Linked DNA regions of Oreochromis niloticus. The protein of the gene in region 3 interacts with the protein of the main gene of each other region in a biochemical or structural test. Links are inferred from orthologs where the notes say so. Each region holds a gene or a part of one and is shown on either strand. Other genes may lie near its edges. The genes, in order: msh5, mlh3 and msh4.

Evidence for each region.
Region 1: the proteins of msh4 (region 3) and msh5 form a complex in vitro, tested with the Homo sapiens proteins (2 studies listed by BioGRID). The link is inferred for Oreochromis niloticus from reciprocal best matches to the Homo sapiens genes MSH4 and MSH5.
Region 2: the proteins of msh4 (region 3) and mlh3 form a complex in vitro, tested with the Homo sapiens proteins (2 studies listed by BioGRID). The link is inferred for Oreochromis niloticus from reciprocal best matches to the Homo sapiens genes MSH4 and MLH3.

The regions. Positions count from the first base shown.
Region 1 is NC_031976.2:20,190,368-20,198,086, forward strand, and holds the start of msh5 (mutS protein homolog 5), read right to left. Parts: upstream 3,037-7,719; 5' UTR 2,924-3,036; intron 2,814-2,923; exon of another isoform or gene 2,277-2,813; 5' UTR 2,265-2,276; coding exon 2,169-2,264; intron 2,060-2,168; coding exon 1,936-2,059; intron 1,784-1,935; coding exon 1,703-1,783; intron 609-1,702; coding exon 555-608; intron 456-554; coding exon 334-455; intron 231-333; coding exon 121-230; intron 1-120. Other genes in the region: SPRY domain-containing SOCS box protein 1, read right to left, coding at 4,708-4,838, 4,935-5,685.
Region 2 is NC_031983.2:10,517,815-10,525,376, reverse strand, and holds the start of mlh3 (DNA mismatch repair protein Mlh3), read left to right. Parts: upstream 1-4,505; 5' UTR 4,506-4,994; coding exon 4,995-7,497; intron 7,498-7,562. Other genes in the region: zinc finger C2HC domain-containing protein 1C, read right to left, coding at 1-1,037; acyp1 (acylphosphatase-1), read left to right, coding at 2,943-3,023, 3,239-3,454. UniProt on the Homo sapiens protein: Probably involved in the repair of mismatches in DNA.
Region 3 is NC_031983.2:11,113,958-11,121,948, forward strand, and holds the start of msh4 (mutS protein homolog 4), read right to left. Parts: upstream 3,087-7,991; 5' UTR 2,887-3,086; coding exon 2,694-2,886; intron 2,476-2,693; coding exon 2,341-2,475; intron 2,242-2,340; coding exon 2,078-2,241; intron 1,987-2,077; coding exon 1,876-1,986; intron 1,737-1,875; coding exon 1,621-1,736; intron 1,540-1,620; coding exon 1,366-1,539; intron 1,276-1,365; coding exon 1,103-1,275; intron 1,003-1,102; coding exon 935-1,002; intron 840-934; coding exon 765-839; intron 622-764; coding exon 557-621; intron 459-556; coding exon 289-458; intron 192-288; coding exon 55-191; intron 1-54. Other genes in the region: vcpkmt (protein N-lysine methyltransferase METTL21D), read left to right, coding at 3,781-4,037, 4,193-4,306, 4,415-4,487, 4,601-4,720, 4,803-4,907. UniProt on the Homo sapiens protein: Involved in meiotic recombination. Required for reciprocal recombination and proper segregation of homologous chromosomes at meiosis.

The DNA.
Region 1 (7,719 bases), on a different chromosome or scaffold from region 3:
AACAGGCCAATGAAATTTCGCACTTCGCTGAAAAAATGGTTTCAGGGTTCTCATTATAATGTGTAATCACAGTTCTCTGTGTGTGCGTGTGTGTGAGTGCTACATTTATGCAAGTCTCACAGTGTGTAGGCGTGAAACTGCAGGATGGGTACTCCAACACTGCTGTCTTCCAACTCCACTCCCACTCTCCTCCTGTCCAGACATTTCAGCAGGGCACCCACTGCCCTCAGCTATCCCACAGATGTACACACACACACACACACGAAAATGATCATCTCCTGCAGAACCATGACTGATGGATAGGATAATGTTGTATGTAGACAGCTGGCTCACCATCAGGGACGAGTCAAAGGAGATACAGGAGGAGAGGTAGGACAGTTTGTCTCTCTCGGAAATGCAGGCGGGGAGGAAAGGCAGATGGGCAGAGAGCAACCTTTGCTTACTGACCTCCAGACCTTCAACATTGATACAAAATGAAGCTGGAAAACTGTGCAATTTCATGCTAGATTTCTTCTAAATGATTGCGGAAGAGAGTATTACAAGAATGTGTTTACCAAAGTCAACATATGGATACGTGACCACCTCTGGTCTGTAGTGTGGGTTTGAACCTGAGAAGCAACAGAGAAAAAATGTTGTCACTTTAGTGAACACAGTAAGGGCTACATAAAACATTACACTAATCAGTAGTTCAAAAATGTTGTGACTGGGAATTTTATGTCAACCAGACTTTATTATTAGAACTGTAAAGGTAATGAATTAAACTTACATTTTCTATTCTAAAAGCCATATTGCAGATTTATTTGATAAACTCACCACTAGGGTGAGCAGTGGGGCTACTAATTTGACTCAGGTCATTTAATCAAAAGGTTCACTTTAGACAGCTTTTGCTGTTAGATCTGAATCAATCCAATCACTTGGTTTTGTTTATATTTTTGCAAGCAGAAAATAGATGAATACTTTTTGTTTATCGGGAATAAGAAGTAATGAAAATCTGGGTTGCTGAAAACATTTTTGGGTTTTGTTCTGTTCACCATGATGACCTCTTTTTGAGAAGCAATTTCATCAGTGCGACTACATTAGCAGACTTCAAAGAGTCTGACTAACAGAGAGCAGGATAACATTTGTTGGGGATGGGGATCCATTCTTCTGTGGCGTAAACCACAGAAGAATGTAAAATAGCTGTTGTACTAGGTTGTGACTGTAAAAATATGTTATTAAAAATACCTTCCTCTTACAGAATATTCAAAAGATGACATGGAGGCTGTTTACCACAGATATGAATACAAGTGTGCTTTGAAAGTTTGGCTTGCCATTTGGGGTACTTTGGTTATGGCTGGCACTTATATAGCACTTTTTTACTTTATTTGAGCACTCAAAGTATTTTCTTAGTGCAAGCCTCACAACACTCACATTGTAATGGGTTCGGTGTCTTGCCCAAGGATACTTCGACATGCATACTTAAGGAGCCAGGGATCAAACCACGACCTTCCAATTAGTAGAGCCACAGCCACCCCGGGAACAGGATGTTTAAAAACTGCACCACTGACTTACCACACAGGCTGGTTTCAGTGTCAGACATACTTCAACCTCATTCCTCTGACCCAGACTACATGTACTACACCACGTCTAAAGGAAACTGTCTAAAAGGTCTTTCTGTTTTCCCTCTTTCATGGTAAGATAAGTATCATCTCCCAAAGCTCACCTAGCTGTTGCAAAAAGCGAGTCATGGAGCGCTCCTGCTTTGCACTGGTGATAATTACATGGGGACTAACCTCCTGAATGACTGCAAAACAAAGAAAAAAAGAGATTTTATGGCAACACAAGTGTTGTTTTAACACATACTGTAAGTCTCCCTGAGGGTTTTACAATTTACTATTGTGTGGAGATAAGTGTATCCATTCTACAATACCTGCCTCATACAGGTGCATTGCTTACCTCTGACCAGTAGGTGGAGCTCTTGGTTGTCAGGCGTGTCCGGCATGTAGTGTAAAGATGAGTCCTGACTGTCATAGAAGCAGAGACCCACCTGCCCATGCTGGACCAAAACACTCAGTAAAACCTGGAAAACAGACATGCAAACATGTAAGTTTGACTGCCCTCAAACTCTCATATAACTCCCATATAACATTAAATGAGTGCTGCTGGTGAATGTGAAAATCAGCGCTTACTGCAGGAGAGTCCTCCTCATCTTCTTCATCAAAACTAATGCCAGAAGGTCCAAAAACCACACCTCCTTCTCTGAGGTTATCCAGAACTGCTGCCATGAATAATTAATTCTACAAGGACAACTCAGATTAAAGTAATTTGGAGTCACCCGATAAATCCAATATTCATTATGTTTTATGTTTTTTCTTCTTCTCCTCTGTCTTTTCTGCCTCCTTAGGGAAATATGGAGCCATTTAACTGCTAAATGAGCCACTCTCATTAACAGGCTGTCCAAGGCTGTCTGCCTTGCACTTTAGTGCTGGGCAGGGAGTATAATGTGGGTTTTTAGAGCTTTTTCACTGAAAATAGCTTACTACTACTGATGCTTAAAGAACACCATGGCTTCTTAAAACAGCTAAACTGCAAGTCAGACAAAAATTATTTTTGGAAACTCGCTATGGGGTCCTTTAAAGATAAAAACAAAATATGGAATTGATATTACAGACATTATTATGATAATAATTGAAATTATTGTAGCTCCAGTTAGCTTATTGGGCTAACGATGTAAGCTAGCTCGTTTAAGTTAACTATAACTTACTTATATTCTTATTTAGAAACCGGCTATATAATTAAATTTCTGTTTTAGAGTACTGCCACTTCAATAAATGCCACGTCAATAAATATTTTATATAACTTGCAGAGTCCAGCTTATAACAGAAATGAGGCTGATAAAATAACTTTAACAAGCTTTAACAGTGCTTGTTTTCCACAAACTCACCTTCAAGTGCTCAAAGGCGCCTTCCCGGTTGCCATAACAACCACATTTCTCTCTCTCTCTCGCTATTAGTTCTGTACAATTAATCAGTTCAGAAAGCTCTTTCAACCTATGAAACGTTGTTTGGTTTTTTTCATTTAGCCCTTTGTTAAAAGTACAGTTTAGGGCGGTTCACATTTATTTATTTTGTTTTATCCCTCGAATTATAATCAAAGCTCATCTACTTGTTATGCTAGATGTGTGTCTAGCTATCTGTCTCTCTGTAGCATAGGTGTGTGGTGGTTGATGGTTGGAGTGTACAGCTGATGGTATTACTGCATACACTCCTGGTAGGACTCCAAACACGACATTCTTGTGTATTACGTCGATGGAGAGGAGGTGTCTGTATGATACTAAGGATTTAAAAATGTCCTGCATTCAAGCATCGATCAGCAGAATTAGCAAACTTCTAGTTGTTTGTCTGCCACCTGCAGAGTGAGCATCTGGTTCTTAGCAGGTGAGCAACAACACAACATATTACACTGTTTGATTATTTATTTAACAAAAACGAAGCCAAAATAAAGAAGTGTGTGAAAAAATAATTACAAAGCAGCCAGGTGACTGATTAACTGATCATCAGTAAGTGTGAGAGCGCTTAATTTTTTTGGCAGTTTCTTGGCCTGGATCATTACAGTGTGTGTTAACACAATGTCAAGGAGGAAAAACATCAGCAATCATCTTAAAGAAGTAACTGTGGGGCGGGTTATAAGGTAATTTCCAAACAATCTAAACTCCATTATTCTACAGTGAGGAAGATTATTCACAAATGGAAAACACTGAAAATAGTTGCCAATCGTCACAGGACTTGATGTCCCAGGAAATTAACCCCAAGATCAGATCAAAAAACCTGATTCAGATGCTGTGCTGGGACCTTAGGGGAGCTTGAGCTGTGATGCAATGCTGTAAGTTCCCAAATTCATCCAGAATGATGCGAGAGACTGATGAAGTAATATAGAAAACCGCTACTTCAAGTTATTGCTGCTAAAGGTGGTTTTATAAGCAATGGAATCGTGGGCTGTGCTTAGTTTTTCACACACTGCTTCTACATTGTGGTCTAGTTTTTGTTACGTAATGACGTGATATAAAATATTATGTGCTGTTGTTTTTAAAGTTGTATTTAAAATATATTAGAACCTGGTATGTCCTGATTGATAAAGCCTTAGAATTAAAGAGGATGTACTATTGCTAATGTAACAATATAACCTAAAGTACAACTACAAACAAATGTTTGGAAGCATGGGCATGTACCAGTATGCAGGAATAATATGAGTACACCTGTATATGAGACAAATGTAAATATATATCTATCCTGCCACTGTACTTGGCTTCTTATGCTGGTTGAAAACATTACATCAGTATTTTCATACAAATAATTTTATAATCCTTATTGGATGTAAGCTGTATTGTCAAAACCCTCTATACCTCTGCTAAGCCATCCTTGTGGTTTGTGAAAGGACAGGAAAAGTATAAAAATCACTTGTAACAGCTCATTTATTAGATGCACAAAAGAAGAAACCAGACCTGTACCAAACAGAACTGCCCCTAAATCCCCCAAATTTCTTTTAAAAAATATTACAAAACATCTATAAACATACACATTTGTAGTAAATAAGATAAAAATAATTATACTTGTGCATATAATGTAAGATTTACAGAATTTACATCAGTATTTCATAGAAAAGGGCATGGATCCTAGGTAAACTGCAGTAACTGACAAAAGTATCCATCTTGTCCGTTTGCATGGAAGATTAATGACTGGGAGCCAGACAGCGCTGGAGAAAAGGGGGTAGAGGCAAATTGTCCGTATGTTTTAACCTCTTCTGTCCTAAATTCTGACGAATCGACAGTACGCATAAAGCCATGAGGGTTGGAGGATCTCCTGAGAACAAGCCAGAAACAACATAGTTTAGTATAAGGCTGTGTTTTATCTTTATATTTCTTCGTACAAAGACAAATAAATAAATGAGGCACTCACGTGTAGAACCATTCAGGTAGCGCAGTCGAATGCAGGCTCCTCCTCTCACACTGCTCACTGCTGGGAACAGCTCCACATCTCGAGGGAGGTCCTTAAAAGCTACGCCAAGGAAGCTGCCATTGACAACAAACCCCAGAGTCCCGGCATCGGCATCCAGAACCAGCAGGACACGCTCAGGAATGAGGAGAGGTGTTTGTGCCATCTTTGCGTTTGATGAAGACGAGGACTGTGACTTTGAATCACCTGCCACCTCAGAGTGACTCCTCCTCCTACTCCCATTTTCTGGGTAAAGCTTCAGAGTTTGTCCACCATGCCAGAGCTGATTGGTTTTGAGCTCCCATCCCCAGGACTGTGAGTCTGCCCCCACCAGCACATTGTACCCTGAAGACTGCAGGGGACAGTCCTGCCTCGAAATGCCCACAACGGCATGAGTCCCTCTGTGTTCAGGCCTCCACACCACCTCCCAGACATGAAGCCCACTCTTCACTCCTATCTCCGCCCTCACGCCATCGCTGCTAAGCTCAGCGGGTGAGCGGGTCGCTTCCTGTTTGCAGGGGGACAGCTGGAAGTGAAGAGAGCGGTGGACTGTGCTCCAATGTGAATGACTGTCTCCTGGGGAAACTGGAGGGGAGTTCAGCGTAACCGCAAGGCGAGAGGAGGTTGGGACAGCCAGTGGGAGGAACGCTGATGACGAAAAGGGAGGCCTGTTGGCTGTCCTGCTGTAAAACCAACGTGACAGACTCAGACCCATCAGTGCAAATGGCAGGGTCACTCCTATGTGTTGAGGTGAACTATGGAGAACAACAAAAAAAACAAAGTGCGACTTAATATTAAACCTTAGATATGCAGTCATTAGAGAAAGAAAGTTTGAAAAACTAATTGGATGCTTAATGCTTCCATAGAAATTAAGAGTGTAAGTAGCAGCCAGGTCCTGCTCATCAAATGTACTTAATTAATTGATCATCACCAAGCATGAGCACTTCTATAAAAGCAAAAGTTTTGCAGTTTGCTGGTCGGGAGCATTCACAGTGTGGAGGTTAAAAACCCTCATTCAGACTCAGAAGTCAGGCAGGATTAAACAAATAATGAGCCTTAGTCCATGAAACAAAGTCCAAAAGGCAAGGCAAAGCAAAAAGTCAATCCACATAAACATCACAAGCGAACAAAAATGACATCTAAAACAGGCAGGTAACACACTGGTACGGTTAACAGATATTACCACAAGGACTGAAATCAAACCCAAAGACAAGGACTGACAATGAAAGACAATGAGACAGGAGTAAGATAAAGCAGATGAATAACTCACAATAAAATATGATAAAAAATTGAATCACTAACAGAATCAAAGACTTGACAAGTACAGGATGACACAAGAAAGGCGAACATTTTTCTGTTGTTGAAAATGTCAACTGCGAAAATAAAGCTGGATGGACAGAGGAGTACAAGTCCAAAGCAGTTTGGCATGAAAATATACAAATAGTTCAAATGTGTCCTTAAGTACCGTACGGTCCTTGAGTATAGGTCTAAGTGCAAAGGTGTCGTATATTTAGAACTCATAACATTACTCAGTGAGAAATGCCTCCATCAAGGGTGGGTCTATTTAACTTAAAAACCATGAAATATGTGGTAAACGTAATTATTTCAGACACACAGTGTTCTCAGTTTGCAGCAGGATAAAAGGAGGAGGTGGTTTGATATGAGAACATATAATCCAGAAAATAACAAAGTTCTGACCCCCTGGATAGTGTTGTTTGGTTTTTAGAAATATTTTTGCTAACTAATCCTGAGTTTCAGTTACACAGCTGAGAAGATTGCTTAAGTTTATCCTACAACAGCGATGCATATATGTGTTAGAAAACCTGCCAAATCACATCTGAGCTGTGATAAATAAAAAAGAATTGAATTTATCTTCGAAGCGTAGAGATAACCCTGCACAACGCACACCAATAACATCGCTGTTGTGATAAATTTAGTGTTTCTATCATGAATTTCTCTGTTTTAATCTACTTTCCTGGTAACTTTGTATAGGGAATTGGAACATTGGTGTAGCAGGGGATACTAGGAAGCTGTATTTCAACATTATACGCTTGGATTTCTTGTTGGAAATTATTTGATAATTATTTATGACAGTTACAGTTTTTATATGTAAATATAGTATTTAAACACATTTAAATAGCTTAAAGCATATTTTTAGTAATAATGAAACAAATACAATGTTGAGTAACAGACAAAGGTGGCCAATTAAACGTGATTTTTTTTTTTAAAAAAGGGTTTTTTTTGCATAAAAATTGCTGAAATTCCAAACATAATACAAATGCTCTATAATAAAATTCACCAGAATTGAGGAGATTGGGTTTAGATGCACAAACTTTTGGGGGAAGGATCCTCAAACCTCTTCATGATACCCCCCCCCCCCCTATAAAGCCAAACCTACTCCCGTGTATTTATTTAACACCACCTGTTCAGGTGGAGCAGAACAAAGTGAACTAGAAGAATACAGTATTTATTTATTTATTTTTTTAAAAGAAAAAGAAAAAAAAGACAAAGTCTCCATCGAGCTACCGTAAGCAAACTGTGTAGATAGGGACTTCTATCAGCCTTACCCGCTGGTGTGGCTCCTTCTCTGGTGCTCATGAGCAGACTGCCTTCACGAACCCTCCGCCTGGTTCCCTATCTGAGCTTATAAGAGGCTCCTGCGTCTTATCGCCGCTCGGTAACGTAACCGCTCCGGTGTTTTGGTGATGCTTCTCGGCTCGACCTCCGGAACGGGAACAGCACAGTCCAT
Region 2 (7,562 bases), about 600 kb from region 3:
TGCTTCTCTAATCTTTCACTCACAAACTTTCTGTTGCAGATTTTGCAAGGAAAAAGCTGGAGGCTGACTTCTGTGCTCTCCTTGAGCACGAGCTCTCCCCGGTGTGGTCCACTCCATTGTGAAGGTCTAGATGGAAGAGTTGAATCCCAGAGCTGATTTCCTCCTGCCCCTCTGTGGTTTCCTGTATAAGGAGTTTTCTGCAGACTCTCCTGAGGCACATCACTGTACTTTATTTTTTCTATTTCTCCACCAGTACCATAATCTGTCCCACCTCCTCGTTTTCCTCTGGTATGCTCTTTCACATTATGCCATCTTGATTTGTTCAGTTCTCCATTCACTTCTTGTTTGCTAGATATGACCTTATAAGTGCCTTTATTTCCTTTTCTGTTAGGCTGAATAGTTTCTGAATCGTCCTGGTGTTCTTCCTTCGTAGTCCTCATTCTGTCCTCAGTCCTCTGATCTTGTTTGTGCCTAACTTGCTTAAAATCATCATACCTTCTATCCTCCATCACTTTATCTCTGCCTTGAGCTAGCTCTCTAAACTGGAGCTCAGACATTCTGGTATTTGTTTGAGTTTTTTGCACCTGAGCTCGTCCTCTGCTGTGTCCCTCCTCCCTACTTGTTTTCTCATTACCTCCAGCATAGTCAGCGCTGGCCCTCTGGAGCTTTTGTCTTATTTTTAATTCAACTTTCAAGAGCTTCTCCTGCAGCATGAGCTGTTTTGCATGGATTGCTTTGGTCAACTGCAGCTCTTCACTGGGCAGTCTGTCTGACAGTGAGGCTACGGTGGTCTCTGTGATGCCATGTGAATGATGCTCCTGGGGTAACAAAGGGGCTACTGGTTGAGTAGAAACTGTGATGTTTTCAAAATCATCCAAATCTAGTGAAACTTGTGGCCTGCTAGGTCTTCTATGGCTCACAGGCTTGTTTGGGAATGGATGATTTACTGCATCTGCTTTCCTATTAGGCACGCTACGTCTTTCCCCTGCAAAGTTGTGGTGCCCCTGAGGAGTGTCTCTTCTTCTATGTGTGTTCATGACTTCATCTGTTGTTACAGATCATAAGCTGTTGTTCCACAGATTCAAAGATACCTGAATCCACCATATGGGGTCCTTTTATTGTATAATTTCTGTGCAAAAAGCAAGCAGAAAAGGGAAAGGGTAAAGCTTGCACAATATCATAACCCCAGTTCTAAAAAAGTTGATGTATAAAAGCTAATTTAAAAACAGGATGTAGTAAATATCTGCAAATCTCATTAACCCACATTTTATTCACAACAGATCATAGAAAGCATATGACATGTTTGAACTGAGATAATTTTATCAAACAGCAGTTTTACTGTTTCATAAAAAAATATGAAACAGTAAAAAAATAACAAAAAGTCGAAAAAGTAAGTGGTACCAAAAAGAAATTATTGAAAAACATTTTTTAGTTCATTAGATTTATCTGCAAAAGCTCAGTAACACCACTGGGTATAAAAAGATTTTAGAGAGACAGACTTTCTCAGAAGTAGTGGTGGGCAGATGTTCACCAATCTGCAAAGAATTTGTGTCTGCAATTGAAAACGCTGAATATCACATCATATACAGTACATAATATCATCAAAAGATGCAGAGAATCTGGAGAAAATCTGGAGAAAAAAATAGAGTGACCATTACGCTTGTTATCAGTTCCAAATCTTAAAGGCCTTCAGCTCTGATGGTATGGGGGTGCATTTATGCCTATGCAATTGGCAGCTTGCACATTTGAAAATGCTCCATGCTCAACGCTGAAAGGTACATACAAGCTTTATAGCAATGTATGCTTCTCCAGATGATTCTTTTGGAGAGAAGGCCTTGCATATTTTCAAAAGATGATGCTCAACCATATACTGCATCTATTACAGAAGCACTGCATCCACGAGCTGCCAAACTGGTCTGCCTGCAGCTTGGACCTTTCACCAAATGAAAATATTTAGCACATCATGAAATGAAAAATATGACAAATGAGACCAGGACAGCTAAGCACCTTGAATCTTAAACAAGTGAAAAATGGGATGACGGCCTGCCTCTCCCAAAACTTCAGCAGCTCTAAAGAAATGTTTCGGCCATCACCTCTATTAAATTTTTCTTTTAGTCTAGGACTAGGTTTAATCCATGCGTGTGAAACAAGCTATAAATGCAGAAAAAAAAAAACCTCAAGCACAAAGGTAACGTACTGCTTTAAAAATATCTGTGCTACAGTTCAATTTATCAACAGATATTTAGGCTTAATTTGGCGTATGGTGAGATGGTCAAATGCTTCACAAAGAAGCAAGCATGTTCATTTATTTATTTTTATTAACGTTTTTTATAATGGCTTAAAATAGTTTTTGTTAACTTTTTAATAACAGAGACCATAAATGTGCGGGCGGCTAATAATTAAAAAAAAAATACCGATATGTTTATGTCTTTGTCTCCAATAACATTTGTTAGATAAATAATTGAATCCAGTTTCAGAAAATTCTCATAAATATAATCTGCTATCTACTTACCAGCATACCAATGTATATTTTCCTAAAAATCCTGTCCTTCCAGTGTTTACATTTGTTGCCTAGATACAACGCTTCTCGGTTGTTTTCTGATTGGTCCGGTAAACAAACACCACTTCCTGTAATCCTCTGTTCCAGCCCAGTAGGTGGCGATAATGCAATTAGGAACTCAAAGAAGGAGACGAAGAAGAAGTGGCGTGTCGTATGTTTTGAATTTGCTGTAATTCGGAACTGGGTCGGCGTTTCACGGCTTCTGGATAAAATTCAGGTAAATTAAATGGCAGCGGGTTTTTGCGCAGTAAAGTAGCAGTAATACGAAGCTAGGTGTGCTATGTATTATTTATGTTGGCATAGCTTCAGTCACCTGTGATCACAAATCACCTTTAAGCATTAAAGGACTGCCTAAATTTCTTCTTTTTTTTTAAGATCCATTATGTCCGATGAAGACCTAATTTCAGTGGATTATGAGATTTTTGGCAGAGTGCAAGGTGTATTTTTTCGGAAATACACGCAGGTAGGTTTGACATTGTCCCATGATTGCGTTTTTTTAGGGGTGGTCTCATTGATGCTGAATATTACAACTACCATTTTAAATATTTCTAGTCGATATTTATCCAATAGTGCCATGTTCTTACTATTATGACATCTCTTTTGCCCTCCACGACCTCCATAATAATAATGATAACGATAATAATAATCCCTTTTGGGTTTTTTTTTTTTTTCTTTCAGGCAGAAGGGAAGAAACTTGGCCTTGTTGGCTGGGTCCAAAACACACCAGCAGGAACAGTGCAAGGGCAGCTACAAGGCCCACGCAAAAAGGTGAAGGAAATGCAAGAATGGCTGAGATCCACTGGGAGCCCCAAGTCACACATAACCAAGGCAGAGTTCAAGAATGAGAAAGAAGTTGACAGCCTAGAACATTCATCTTTCAACGTAGTAAAATAACTGTGCCTTTAATATTAACTTATGCAGATGTTTTATTTATTTAGTCTTTTTTGTTTTTACTGGTTGGAATTTAACATTTAAACTGAATGGGAGGAAGAGGTGTACTGCATATGTTTGATCTCCTAAATGTTCACAGAATATGTAACAACAATAATAAATGGGAACTTCCTTCATCAGGACTCACATTGTCTGATTTTATTGCAATAACAGCAGTAAAGGAATATTTAACTCAGTCAGCTTTAACATGCCTGGTTGTGAAGGACCTATGCTCTGCATTTAAAGTGGTTAGTGGAGGTGGCTACATTGTTCAAAATTTTTATTTATTTTTTTAGAAATCTTTAACAAAATTATATTTGTTCTCATGGTCATGCAAACAGGCACATGTGTGTGCTTGCCTATTTTCAAAAGAAAGCTGTAATAACACCTTTTCAGGGTTCATCAAAAGCTTTTAAAGACTATTTACGCATAAGGTGACATAACTATTTTGCTAAATTATCAAGATACTGATACAAGCTCAGTTATTCCAAGGACAAACACCCTGATATTGTTCGGTCTTCTGGTTTAAGATAACAGTTAAACGCCACACATACCAATAAAGTGGTAGGTCAGCAAATATTTTGACTTCATGTTGGTATAAAAAACACAGGTGTATCTGATGTGTTTGTGCAGACTTACTGGCACACCTGTACACATACTGGCTATTTAAAGTTATTAATAAAACATGTTTTTCCACTGTAACTTGATGTATTGAGACATGTTAGGATGATGTTGCAGGCCTGACCACTCTTGCTTATGAGTTTTATCCATATCGAGGCATACAGTGGGCAAGCTAACTGAGGGAGATGTGACTGAAATTGTTTTGTTGACTTCTTAACTGCAGAAAGGAAAACTGACTGGGTGTATAAGCACATTGAACAGCACACTCCGTACAGGAGGTGGCGGTATGCAGTAAAAGCAGGTCTTCCATAGGCTAACTTACGAAAGAAGATGTCTGGTGAACATGGCACATTCAAGTCAACGCGGAGATCGAAACTTTCCAGTAAAGCTCCGAATTCCCAGATACAAAGACGCAAGTGTAAACAATCGAAAGGGGTGACTATGACAAACTGTAGACATTAATATTAGCATCGTATATAGCTGAAGTCATTTTAACGAATTGATGAAACGATGGAAAAAAGGAAACTGATTACGTACCGATGGAAGTTTCCGAGTCGACGCGAACGCAGCAGTAAATTCAACCACACCAGAAGATGGCAGTATTATAATGTTAGCCAGTTTTAAGCGGTTACAGGCCTGTGTTTTTGTTTCACGTTGACTGTACACAACAGCTGAGGTATTTGAGGGCATGGTTTTATTATGCTAAATATTTTTATCATATTTAATGAAATATGAAAGAGGGTTTTACTTCAAAATGTATCGCTGTCAAAAAGTCTCCTTTGGAATTAGCTAGCATTAACTACTTAGCAACGATTAACTAACTAATTACTTTGCGGTCGCCGGTACAGGTGATAGACCAAAGATACAAAGAGAACTGAATTTAATGCCCATTATGATTAAGTGTTTACCCAAAGAGGTTCAGGGGAAGCTTCGCTCCGGTGTCGCTATCCCCTCGCTTCAGCAGTGTGTGGAGGAGCTGATTTTAAACAGCATCGATGCCGGGGCGACCTGTGTGGGAGTCCGAATGGACATGGAGGCATTTAAAATTCAGGTGATCGATAACGGTGCTGGGATGAGCGCCGAGGACATGGACTGTGTTGGGAATAGATACCACACAAGTAAATGCACTTCTGTGGCAGACCTGGACAACCTCAGGTGGTATGGTTTCAGAGGGGAAGCCTTGGCGAGTTTAGTTTCTTTAGCCACACTTGTTGAAATCTCCTCCCGGACCAGATCATCTGTAAAAACACACGTTAAAATATTCAAGGAGGGGAAGGGCTTGGAGGTCTTTGAAGCAGAGGCTGCTCGACCCTCTGCGGGGACAACTGTCATCATTTGTAACTTCTTCCACAACATGCCTGTCCGAAGGAAGAGGGTTGATGCCGTCCTGGAGGGTGAGAGGATCAGGCACAGAGTGGGAGCTATTTCCCTGATGCACCCCTCTGTTTCCTTCACCCTGAAGAATGACTGCACAGGAGCCATGATGGTGCAGCTCCCGAAAGCAAGAAACACTTATCACAGGTTTGTTCAGATACACAATCTCGGGCAAGCAGAGAAGCTGGGAGAAATGAACCACACATACAAACAGTTTGAAGTGATGGGTTACATTGGCAGAGAGGGGCACTACAACAACAGCTTACAGTTCTTGTATGTGAATGAAAGACTGCTGTTGAAAACACATATTCACAAGCTGCTGAACGTTCTCCTGCGCCGACTGACCAGTTCCAACCAGAAGAATGACAGTCCAGATTGGCAGTCTGTCTTCAGAAGTCCAAAGCACAAGCGAAGCCAAGATCTGTATGGAGTGTATATCATCAATATTAAATGCTCTTACTCGGAGTATGATATTTCCCTCGAGCCTGCCAAAACTCTAATAGAGTTTAAAGACTGGGATGGCATTTTGCTCTGTGTTGAAGAAGCAGTGAAAGCTTTCCTGAGCAGGGAGAACTTGGTGGCTGTCATTACTCAAGATGACTTGGACTATGCATCTCCAAGAGTGTTTGGAACTGACAAAACAGAACCAGAAGAGAATGGTGACAAAGGTGGCCAAACAGCTATCAGTATTTCTACAATGGACTGTAGTGTTGGCACGAGACTGGCATCTGAATCTGTTCATCGTAATCACACAGGTGACAGTGTTTCTAAAGATGGTGTTTGCCTGGAGGCTAGATTGGATAAAAGTGAACAACCAGGCCAGAAAAAGATAAGTACAAATGAGTTCCAAAATGTACACAGTGAAAAAGGTTTAAACAATGAATGTAGCAATGAGCTGATGTCTGATCTGGCTACAGTGGAACCTTTACCTTATAAAATTAATAAAGAAGTGGAACCCGCATATAGTGAAGCTGGGGAAGGTTCTAATATTTTGCATATTTCAAGAGAGCTACTTTTAAAAGAAGGAGATGACAGCCTCATTCAACAAGCCCAGCCTGCTTTAAAGTACACTGAGAGAATAGTACCTGACTGTCAGGACACAAGTTGCCATGCACAGACTTTAGTAAGTAAGAGAAAGATCAGATTGTGCGATCAATACGTTCAAGAGAGTCTGCAGACTCAGGACCTTTTGCAAAACAATAGGCCAGTATTTCAGGAGGAAAGTTTAACAGCAAAATCTGAAGAAAAAGCTTCTGTTGCAAAACGCAAAATCTCATTAGACACAAGCAGATCTTCTCAGAAACAATGCAGAGACTCTTCCTCTGTTGTCCCCTCAAAGATTTCCAAGATAATTTCATGCCATAAATTGTCTGGATCTCTTGACAAGTTTCGACGAACATGTGTTAAATCTGGTGATCTCGAATCACAGTTACCCAAGGCTCATTTGAAGACCGACACTCCTCAGACAGACCACGTTTTTTTGAATGCATCAATTTACCAGGGAGCTCAACAAGAAAATAAGATGCAGGACAAAGATGACGCACAGAACAGCCTCCAAAGCCCGCCAACTCTCTCTGTTTTCACTAAGATAAAACCAGAATCAGCACAGAACCAAGGTAAAAAATCTTTGGCAGCTAAACTCCGTCATTTGAAACAACATGGGACAGATGATTCAGAGGTGTCATTGGATTTTTCCAGAAACGTCTCAAAGGATACTATCTGTGTCAGTACTGGAATTGACAGTAACCAAGATAGCAATGAGATTCCCTGTGACCCTGAGTTCAATATGAGGCCAGCCTTAGGATGCATTTTAAACCCTGAACTTGCTATGAATGAAGAGGATGCCACATCGAGCGACTGGCTCCAACACTACGACGCATCTGTCGGAAAGACGGTTTATGTGAACAGAGTGACCGGGCTCAGCAGATATGAGGACCCAGCTATGGAGGAAACTCAAGTGCGCTGCACGTCTGATGTCACCAATATAGCAGTTAGTGTCATTTCTGAAATGGGTAAGTAAGCACACAAAATTGCAGATATGCACATTAATACAGATAATTTGTTTTCTGTTTTAATG
Region 3 (7,991 bases):
TAATGCTGAGTTATATTTTTTGCTAAAAGTCTGGCTGCCTTCAGTGGACCTTACTTTGATGAACTCTGAGGGGAGGTTCCCTTCTGGTAAGGTTAGTCCTTCAAGCTTCAGCTGGATGAAAAAACCTCGAGCTGTGCTGAAGCTAGTACGCATTGGCAAGCCGTATTTTTCCCCCAGCTGGTTCACAAGCTCTGTGCAGCACGATGACATGAAGCATGGCTAAAGGTAAGAACAGATTACCTAAACATCGTAAGACAAAGTTATCTGGAAAACACTAGGCATTAACACCTGCAATGTCGTCCACTATCTCAGTGTAAGCTTTCCGGGCAATGTCGAGAAACTTGTTGATGTTCGGGCGCACAGCGTAACACTTCTGGGTGCGCATTTTAAAGCTATCTTTGAGGTAAGTTGTGTCATAATTGATCACAGTCTTGATCTGCTCCAGGATCATGTCAAACCTGAGGCAGACATAAATGTATACAGTGGAATGAGTCTGTAGACAGGAGATTGTAACTAGCAAATTCAGTTCATCGTACATAAGCACAAAATTTACAACCTGTTATCTTCAAGTGTTGTACTATATGCCTTGAGCAGAGCTGTGTTCCGGTTCTTCAGCAGCATCTGTTTAAATGGTATAACACTTTTAAAAAGACTCAGTATTTGCATTATAACTAAGTCACATTTAGCTTTTAATGAATTAATTGTTTTCTTATTCTGTCCATGGCTACTGGGCGATTTTGTTTGAGGATGTTAGCAGCACAGACCCTTAACCTCGGCACCAGGTCCAGTGTGTATTTCAGCTGAATGATATGTGTAATCTTTGCTTCAGCAACTTGAAACTGTAGAAAAAAAAGTAACAGTAGTGACAAAGTGACAAATGCACAGAAGTAAACAAACAGAATATTGTCACAAGCACTGAAAGTACTGCACATACTGTTTCCTTCTTTGGGATTTGGACGAGAACTGAGAGCAGCTGGTCAATGTCAAGGAAGTGACTTATGGCTAAAAGGGCCAGAAGAACAAACAGTCAATGCAGATATGATCCAATTTTCAGTATGCAGAATATTTATAATGATTCAAACTTTTTGTGCCTGTTTCCAACCATTCTTTAAGCCAAAGAAAAGCTCCTCATCTTCCAGCAGCTCTTGTATGGTGTCCAGGCGAGTGTTGATTGTTTCCACATCAACTAGAGGCTCCAAAATGTTGGAGCGCAACCTTCTGGCACCACCAGGTGTTTTTGTGTGGTTGAGTACCCCGAAAAGAGTATGGTCACTCCTAGAACGAAAAAAGAGAAGGCACAGTCAGACTGCATGACAGAGGAACTACATAAAAAGATGTCATTCTTATCATCGCTTTCCATCTCACCTGTAGTTTCTATTATTAACCACCAATTCCAAGTTAGAGGCAGATGCTGAGTCAATCATGGCTGTCTGCTCACTCCCTTTAAAGCTCACTTTAAGGGACTTGGCAACGTAGACAGAGTTCTGGAGGAACTCTAAATACTTCAGCAAAGCAGCTGCAGCTGCTAGGCAATAATACCTAAAAAAAAAAAAAAGTTATCACATTAGGCAATGACAAAAGTATTAGGCTACAGTATCTCTCTATCTATCTATAGCATACTTAGCTTGAACTTCCATAACAACAGTGCTGAATTCTGGGGCACACAGCTGCTGAATGTACTCCAGCCCTTTCTTCTCATTAAAATACTTCCTTTGCACTGGAGTGAAAGGTACACCCTGAAGAAAAAATACCCAATAAAATTCAGTTTGCACCACACACTTAGCAACTCAGTGAATACTGAAGCACAAGTTGGCTACTCTCTACTTTAAGTGGAAATTTGTTTTAAAGAATTGTGTGTTATTGTTGCATTTGTACCGGAAAATTCTCAGTGATGAGATTGAACAGCTTTGTTCCTTTCCCCTTCTCACTGGCTGTGTCTGGCATCAGTATTTCCACTGGGACCAAGATGTGAATCTTGGTTATGACCTTCAGATGAATAACACATGACTGAAATATAAATTCCATGTCTCCCAGTCTGTTTTGAGTGCCAAATGACAGTAGGACATGGGTGGTTTACCTTGGCATATGTTCCTGTATCTGCAAACTGAGAGAGTACAAGCTCTGGGCATTTCAAATCGAGACTAGCCATGCCAATCTCTCCTCTGGCTAAGCCGCGTCCTTCAACTACTACCACAATCACAGAAGCACCAGTGTTTGTGGATCCAGATGAGTAACTTGTTCCTGCATAAAAAGATCTTTGTTAATAATAATACCTTATTTTTAAAAAGGCTTAATTAATACCAGAGTAATCAATAACTCGTGTCTGTGCAGGATGTATACCAGGTGCCCCAGCAGACCCTGGGGTCCTTCTATGTCTTGGTGTTCCTCCACGGCTGTGGAAAGATGAGCTCTCTGTACAAGATGAAAGAAGCAATGAAGCTGGCTTGTCTATTCTAAAGCTGCTCGGTAATTGACCTATAGCAATAGGAAACATAGGAAAAGAGGTGTAGTACAGTATTATTACTGCTGTGTCATGCCAAGAGCCACATTTTGCCGGGTGCCCCAACTGCTATCAATGAAAAAAAAATAAAAAAATAAAGATCATTTCATTACAGAAATGTCAATGTTAGCACGTTTTTTAGTATCTAATCTCACTCTCCCCAAAATAAAAGTTGCTAATGTTAGCACATCACCTGAGGCCGTTCCAGATGATGGGCCGTGGCGGGAGCTCGTACTGCCTTCATTTGAACTTTGCTTTGATGAAGCTGATGTGACACAAGAAAAGGTTTGGTCCTGTCCACTTTTGTCCTTAGGTAATATACCCCACGACTGTTCACTTGCTGAGGCATAACCGTCAGTTACCTCCTCTGTGCTGCTGGCAAACATTTGAAACTTATGCAGAGGTAGAACAACTGACAAACACAGACTCAGATGTACACCTGTAATATTCAGTTACTACACTTCGACAAACAATATGAAGTTGCCTCTCAGCTGCCAGTTCTCTCAGCTAGCAAGCATAATTACCGCCGCCACACTGATTGCAGTGGCGCGCGAACACCTGACGGCTTCCCTACGTCAGCCTCTACACAAGTTAATCGTAGTAATATTTATTTATCTATTTTTTATATTATTTTCTTTTTTCGGTCATTAATAAGAGTTATTGTGAATTTAAAAAAAATAATAACAACGAATAAATGTACAAAAAAAATCACTTCAACTCGGGAAGACACAAAACATTTTTTATTATTATTATTATTATGAGGCCAAAAGAAAATAATAATAATAATAATAAAAAAAAGAAATCCGTATAAGCCTTCGTTCTCTAAAAGAAACCATGGTTCTTGGTACGCTTCAAATAATTTTAAATAATTTTAGAATATGCTAGGGTGGAAGGACCCTCCAATCATCGTTCATGTTCATGTCTTTAATTAAATTTTTTTTTTTTTTATTTTATTATTTTTTACATTTTTTGCAACTTCTGTTTAAATTCTGTTTGATTTTTTGCTATTAAAATTTTATTTTTAATGTATTATTGTTATTAATAAAATTTAAAGATAAGTATTTCTTGTCTCATCTTATATTATTGTGAATCCATAGACTTTTCATTGTTTATGATTGTATTTTTAAAATAAAAAAAAATCTAAATATTAGAAACACATAACTTTTTTAAAGCATCAAGCACAACTCTGTGCACCAGTCCTAATGTTTGGCGAGGTAAGTCTTTTATTTAGAAAAATATATCAGACCGGAAGTTCTTTTTTTGTTTCTGTTTTGGCCAACATGGCGGCTAAGGCAGACGAGAATGAATATTTTGTCAGAGAAATAGAGAGAAACGACGGCTGTGCCCTAAAAGTTAAGCAGTGCTTCTTGGGAGATGTTGGCTGCGTTGTGTGGGATGCAGCTATTGTTCTCGCAAAGTATTTAGAGACAAAGCAGTTTTACGATCCGTCTTCAGGTGTGAACGTTTGGTCTGGTAGGACTGTGCTAGAGTTGGGAGCTGGTACGGGAGTAGTTGGTCTTATGGCAGCAACGCTAGGGTAAGTTATTTATTTACATGTGATCTTAGTGTTATGTTTAAATATCAAAATATTTAAACGTCATTCCTTGCACTACTACTATGTTTTAGTAATCATCTGGGAAGAGTCAGTATTGGTGATTTATTATTATTATTATTATTTTTAAATTCCTGCAGAGCACAGGTAATAGTAACAGACCTAGAAGATTTACAGACACTGTTGAAGGTGAACATCCAAGAAAACGAAGCGCTTATCAGCAGTGGATCCATAACTGCCAAGGTACTGAAATGGTTTGTACTTACATTTCCTATTTTTCTTATGCTCCTAATATAAATGTCGCAGTAATACTTCAGCAGGACATTCAGCATATGCTTAATATTTTATTTCCATTATTACAGGGGTGAAGATGTGTCTGAATTCTTGCCTTCCCCAGATTATGTCCTTATGGCAGATTGCATCTATTATGAGCAGGTACTTTCCTGTAGTTTTCAATCCTTTATGATCCCCTACAAGATTGCAACATTACAATCATTCTGAAAAAGTGTTGTATGTCTCATTGTGAGTCATCGCTTATTTCCATACAGTCAATTGTTCCACTGGTGGAGAGCTTGAAGCTGCTTTGTGGACCAGAGACCTGCATTGTTTGCTGCTATGAGCAGCGCACTGAGGGTGTCAACCCAGAAGTGGAAAGGCAGTTTTTTGAGGTTAGAATTTGTTTTTATTTCCACAACTAAGTGGAGATATTTGTCATAGCTATCATCTGACCTGTTCTCTTTTCTTTTTAAGTTGTTGCAACAGAACTTCTGCTGTGAGGAGATTCCTTCAGAGAAACAAGACCCAGAATTTAGCAGTCCAGACATCCACATTCTGCACATTCGAAGAAAAGCCTGATTATCGGACTCCGATTGTGACATAGAAACTTGGAACAGTGTACTGAGCTTGTTTAAGATATTAAATTTTTTAACTTTTTAAAGGGAAGCATGCTGTTAATTACTGTGTGTGTTATTTGACGGGAGCACACATGATTAAATCAACACACAGACACTATTTTTTTCCTGCTCAGTAGAATTCTCTTTCAGTCCATGTAGTTCTGTTTCTGTGAAGCTAGATGGCAGACGTGTGCAAGCACAGATCTGAGAAACAAGTGCATTGTTTGAGCAAGAGGCATCATCCCCCTAGGTTTTTGCAGTTCGTCTTGTTTATACAAAATACAGTTAAGCAGATGTGAAAGTGAAGCCTTTACGCCCTAGGCATCTGCCAAAAGTTGCAAACATGAAACCTATTGGACTTCTGCTCTTGAGCACAGACATATTTTCACATTGTATTTCCCATTCCCATCATTAAACTTGGAATATTTAGCAAGTGGTAACTAAATAATTAGATAATATGTACAATTACATGTTTACATAAAAATATTGACAACCTCATGCAGAAATAAGCACCTGATGACAGCGATAAGTGGTGTTTAGAGTGGTTTTCTTTGTGATTTTCTTTCTTCTTGTGAATTATGTAAATTCAGACACTTGTGAGAAGTAGTTGCTTAAAATCTGAAACTTAGGAAAGGATTTAATTGTGTGCACTGATTATTTAAAGAGCCAGGCTGCTCACTCAACAATTAAATATTAAGATGTGAAGACAGTTTTGTTAACTTTTCATATGAAGTGAGGTTAGGGTAACAAATCAAACGCATGACTAAAAATTTCAATCTATATCTTTATGTGGGGTCCCCAATCTTTAAAAATGGAGGACAACAGGGATCTGCAATGCCAGGTTTTGCCGTCCATGTGAGGGGAATTCCACTCAAAGCCCCAGATTAGGTGGAAGATTATGGCTCCTTTTCAAGCATAAAACCATGAAGTACGACCCATACTCCCACAGGCATGCAGGGGCCCCTCACAGCCTTTCATGCTGCTGTCTGTTTACACAGTAGAGCTGTAGCGTAATGAGCAGGTTGGCCTCAAACACTCAGGCCAAGTGAAATGTTAATACTGAAGTTGACAGGATGAGATCCCCCTAAATACTCAAATTGATATATGAGAGAAATATTACAATAGATCCAAGTTTGATTACACATTAATGAAATGGTCCAACATGATCACTGGATGAATGCAACGCTTACCTATTTTAATAAGCAGAAAAGCCCCCTGTATATAAATTTCCCTGAATTTAAGAGTTGGCGTTATTAGTAGAGCAGACAAGTGGCTAATAATACTACAGGTGCAGGTGCTTTGTGTATAGAGTCAACACAAAATCAAGCAATCTGAAAGCATGAAAAAAATTGAACAATGTATGTGTATTCATTTCTGTTCCAGCTAACAAACCAGTTAACCAGTCTCTTCTAACTGTACATGTGAATGTTTAAAATGAGCATTTGATCAAGAGAGGCAGAGGTGTGGTGGGATTGAATCAGATTATAGATGTTGGTCGATGAGAATGCCTATGAAGAGAGGAGCAAGTGAGATTAATTGCATTTTTATTTTTTATTTACAGTTACTATAAATAACTACAGCAGATCATGTAAAATAATCATTCCCCGTGGCCCTCCTGTGCCACTCTCACTTGCACATTGTGCAGCTGGACTGTTACAGTCAGAATTAACTTGCGGTTAAGGTCTGCTTTGGTTTGGCCGGGAGACGTACGGCTAATTAATTTGACTCACAGCTGGTAATAAGTCCATGTCCCCCAGTGTGGTGGGGACAGGACCCAGAAGGGTTACTGAGGAGATTAGAGGGGTAAAGGGGAGCGCCATTATTCTGTGTCAACACTTTCTCCCCCACCCCATCCATGGGTCTTCCACTTAAGTAACTCAGAATATATTTCCCCATCCCTGGTGTTTTCCTTAAATGTTAACCAAAAATAATTAAAACGGTGTAATTGTGCTGTTCCTGTGGATGACTAATTAGGCTCACACAACAGGGGAATAGGAAGGCCCACTGTAAATGAGGACAGCCCACAGTGAAGCAGCAGCAGTGTCTCGGTAATCTGTTATCATATATATCAGACACACATGCACATTACTATGGATTCTGGTAACCATCAAGACAGAATGGGGGCATTTTCTGCCAACAGATGGTGCTATAAGTAAGAATAACTCTTAATGGTGTGGAAAACCTGTATTTGGAACACAAGTCCATAGCATCCAATGCATACTGGGATTTTTATGTGTTTTTTTAAAAATAAGTTTAATTACTTGATCATTGTCTTGGGCTAGTGAACACCTGCAATGGATTCCATAATCAGCATTCTTGTAAAACAATTTAACATGAGGTAGCAGTGCAGCATCTCTGCTCTGCACCCCCCCCCCCCCCGCCCCCCCCAATACCAGCTGGGTGGAGGAGAGTCTGACTCCAGCAGTCCGTGTGGTGCGCTCAACTCTGCTGCATCACAGCCAAGTGACACAGAGGATCCTTTGTGTCACCATCATCACGCTGCCTGGAGCCAAGAGACACTGCTCCAGAAAGGAAGACTCATTTTCTCACTAACTATTAGGGAGTGGCTCAAGAATAGACATCAAACTGGGCTGATTAAAAATAGAAGAAGGCCTGCATGAAAGAGTGACTCCTCTGATTCCGCAAAGGTGTATCCACACACACAGACCCCCCCACCCTTCTCCATTTTATATAGCAATCTGAGCCCGACTGAACTTTACGGTGCACCAAGAGGGAGCAGGCCAGACCTCGCTTACCAAACAGCTTACCAAGCACTGTATTTGTTATCTTTCAGCTATCTCTTTATCCTCATCTGGAAAGATGGGACACAACAATGCTAATAATCTGCAGCACTCATTGTTCATTGGATCTGAGCGCAAGAGGTGGTACCGTGCCAGGGAAGCAAAGCCCAATGGGACAACTAGCTTATAGAAACACAATGCTGCCCCCCCCAAACACACCCCTGCAGGGGAACAGGGGGAGGGCGGGGGTGCTGTTAAGACAGCTGTGCTGCAGTTGAGAGGGGAGCACTGTGAGAATACTGCAC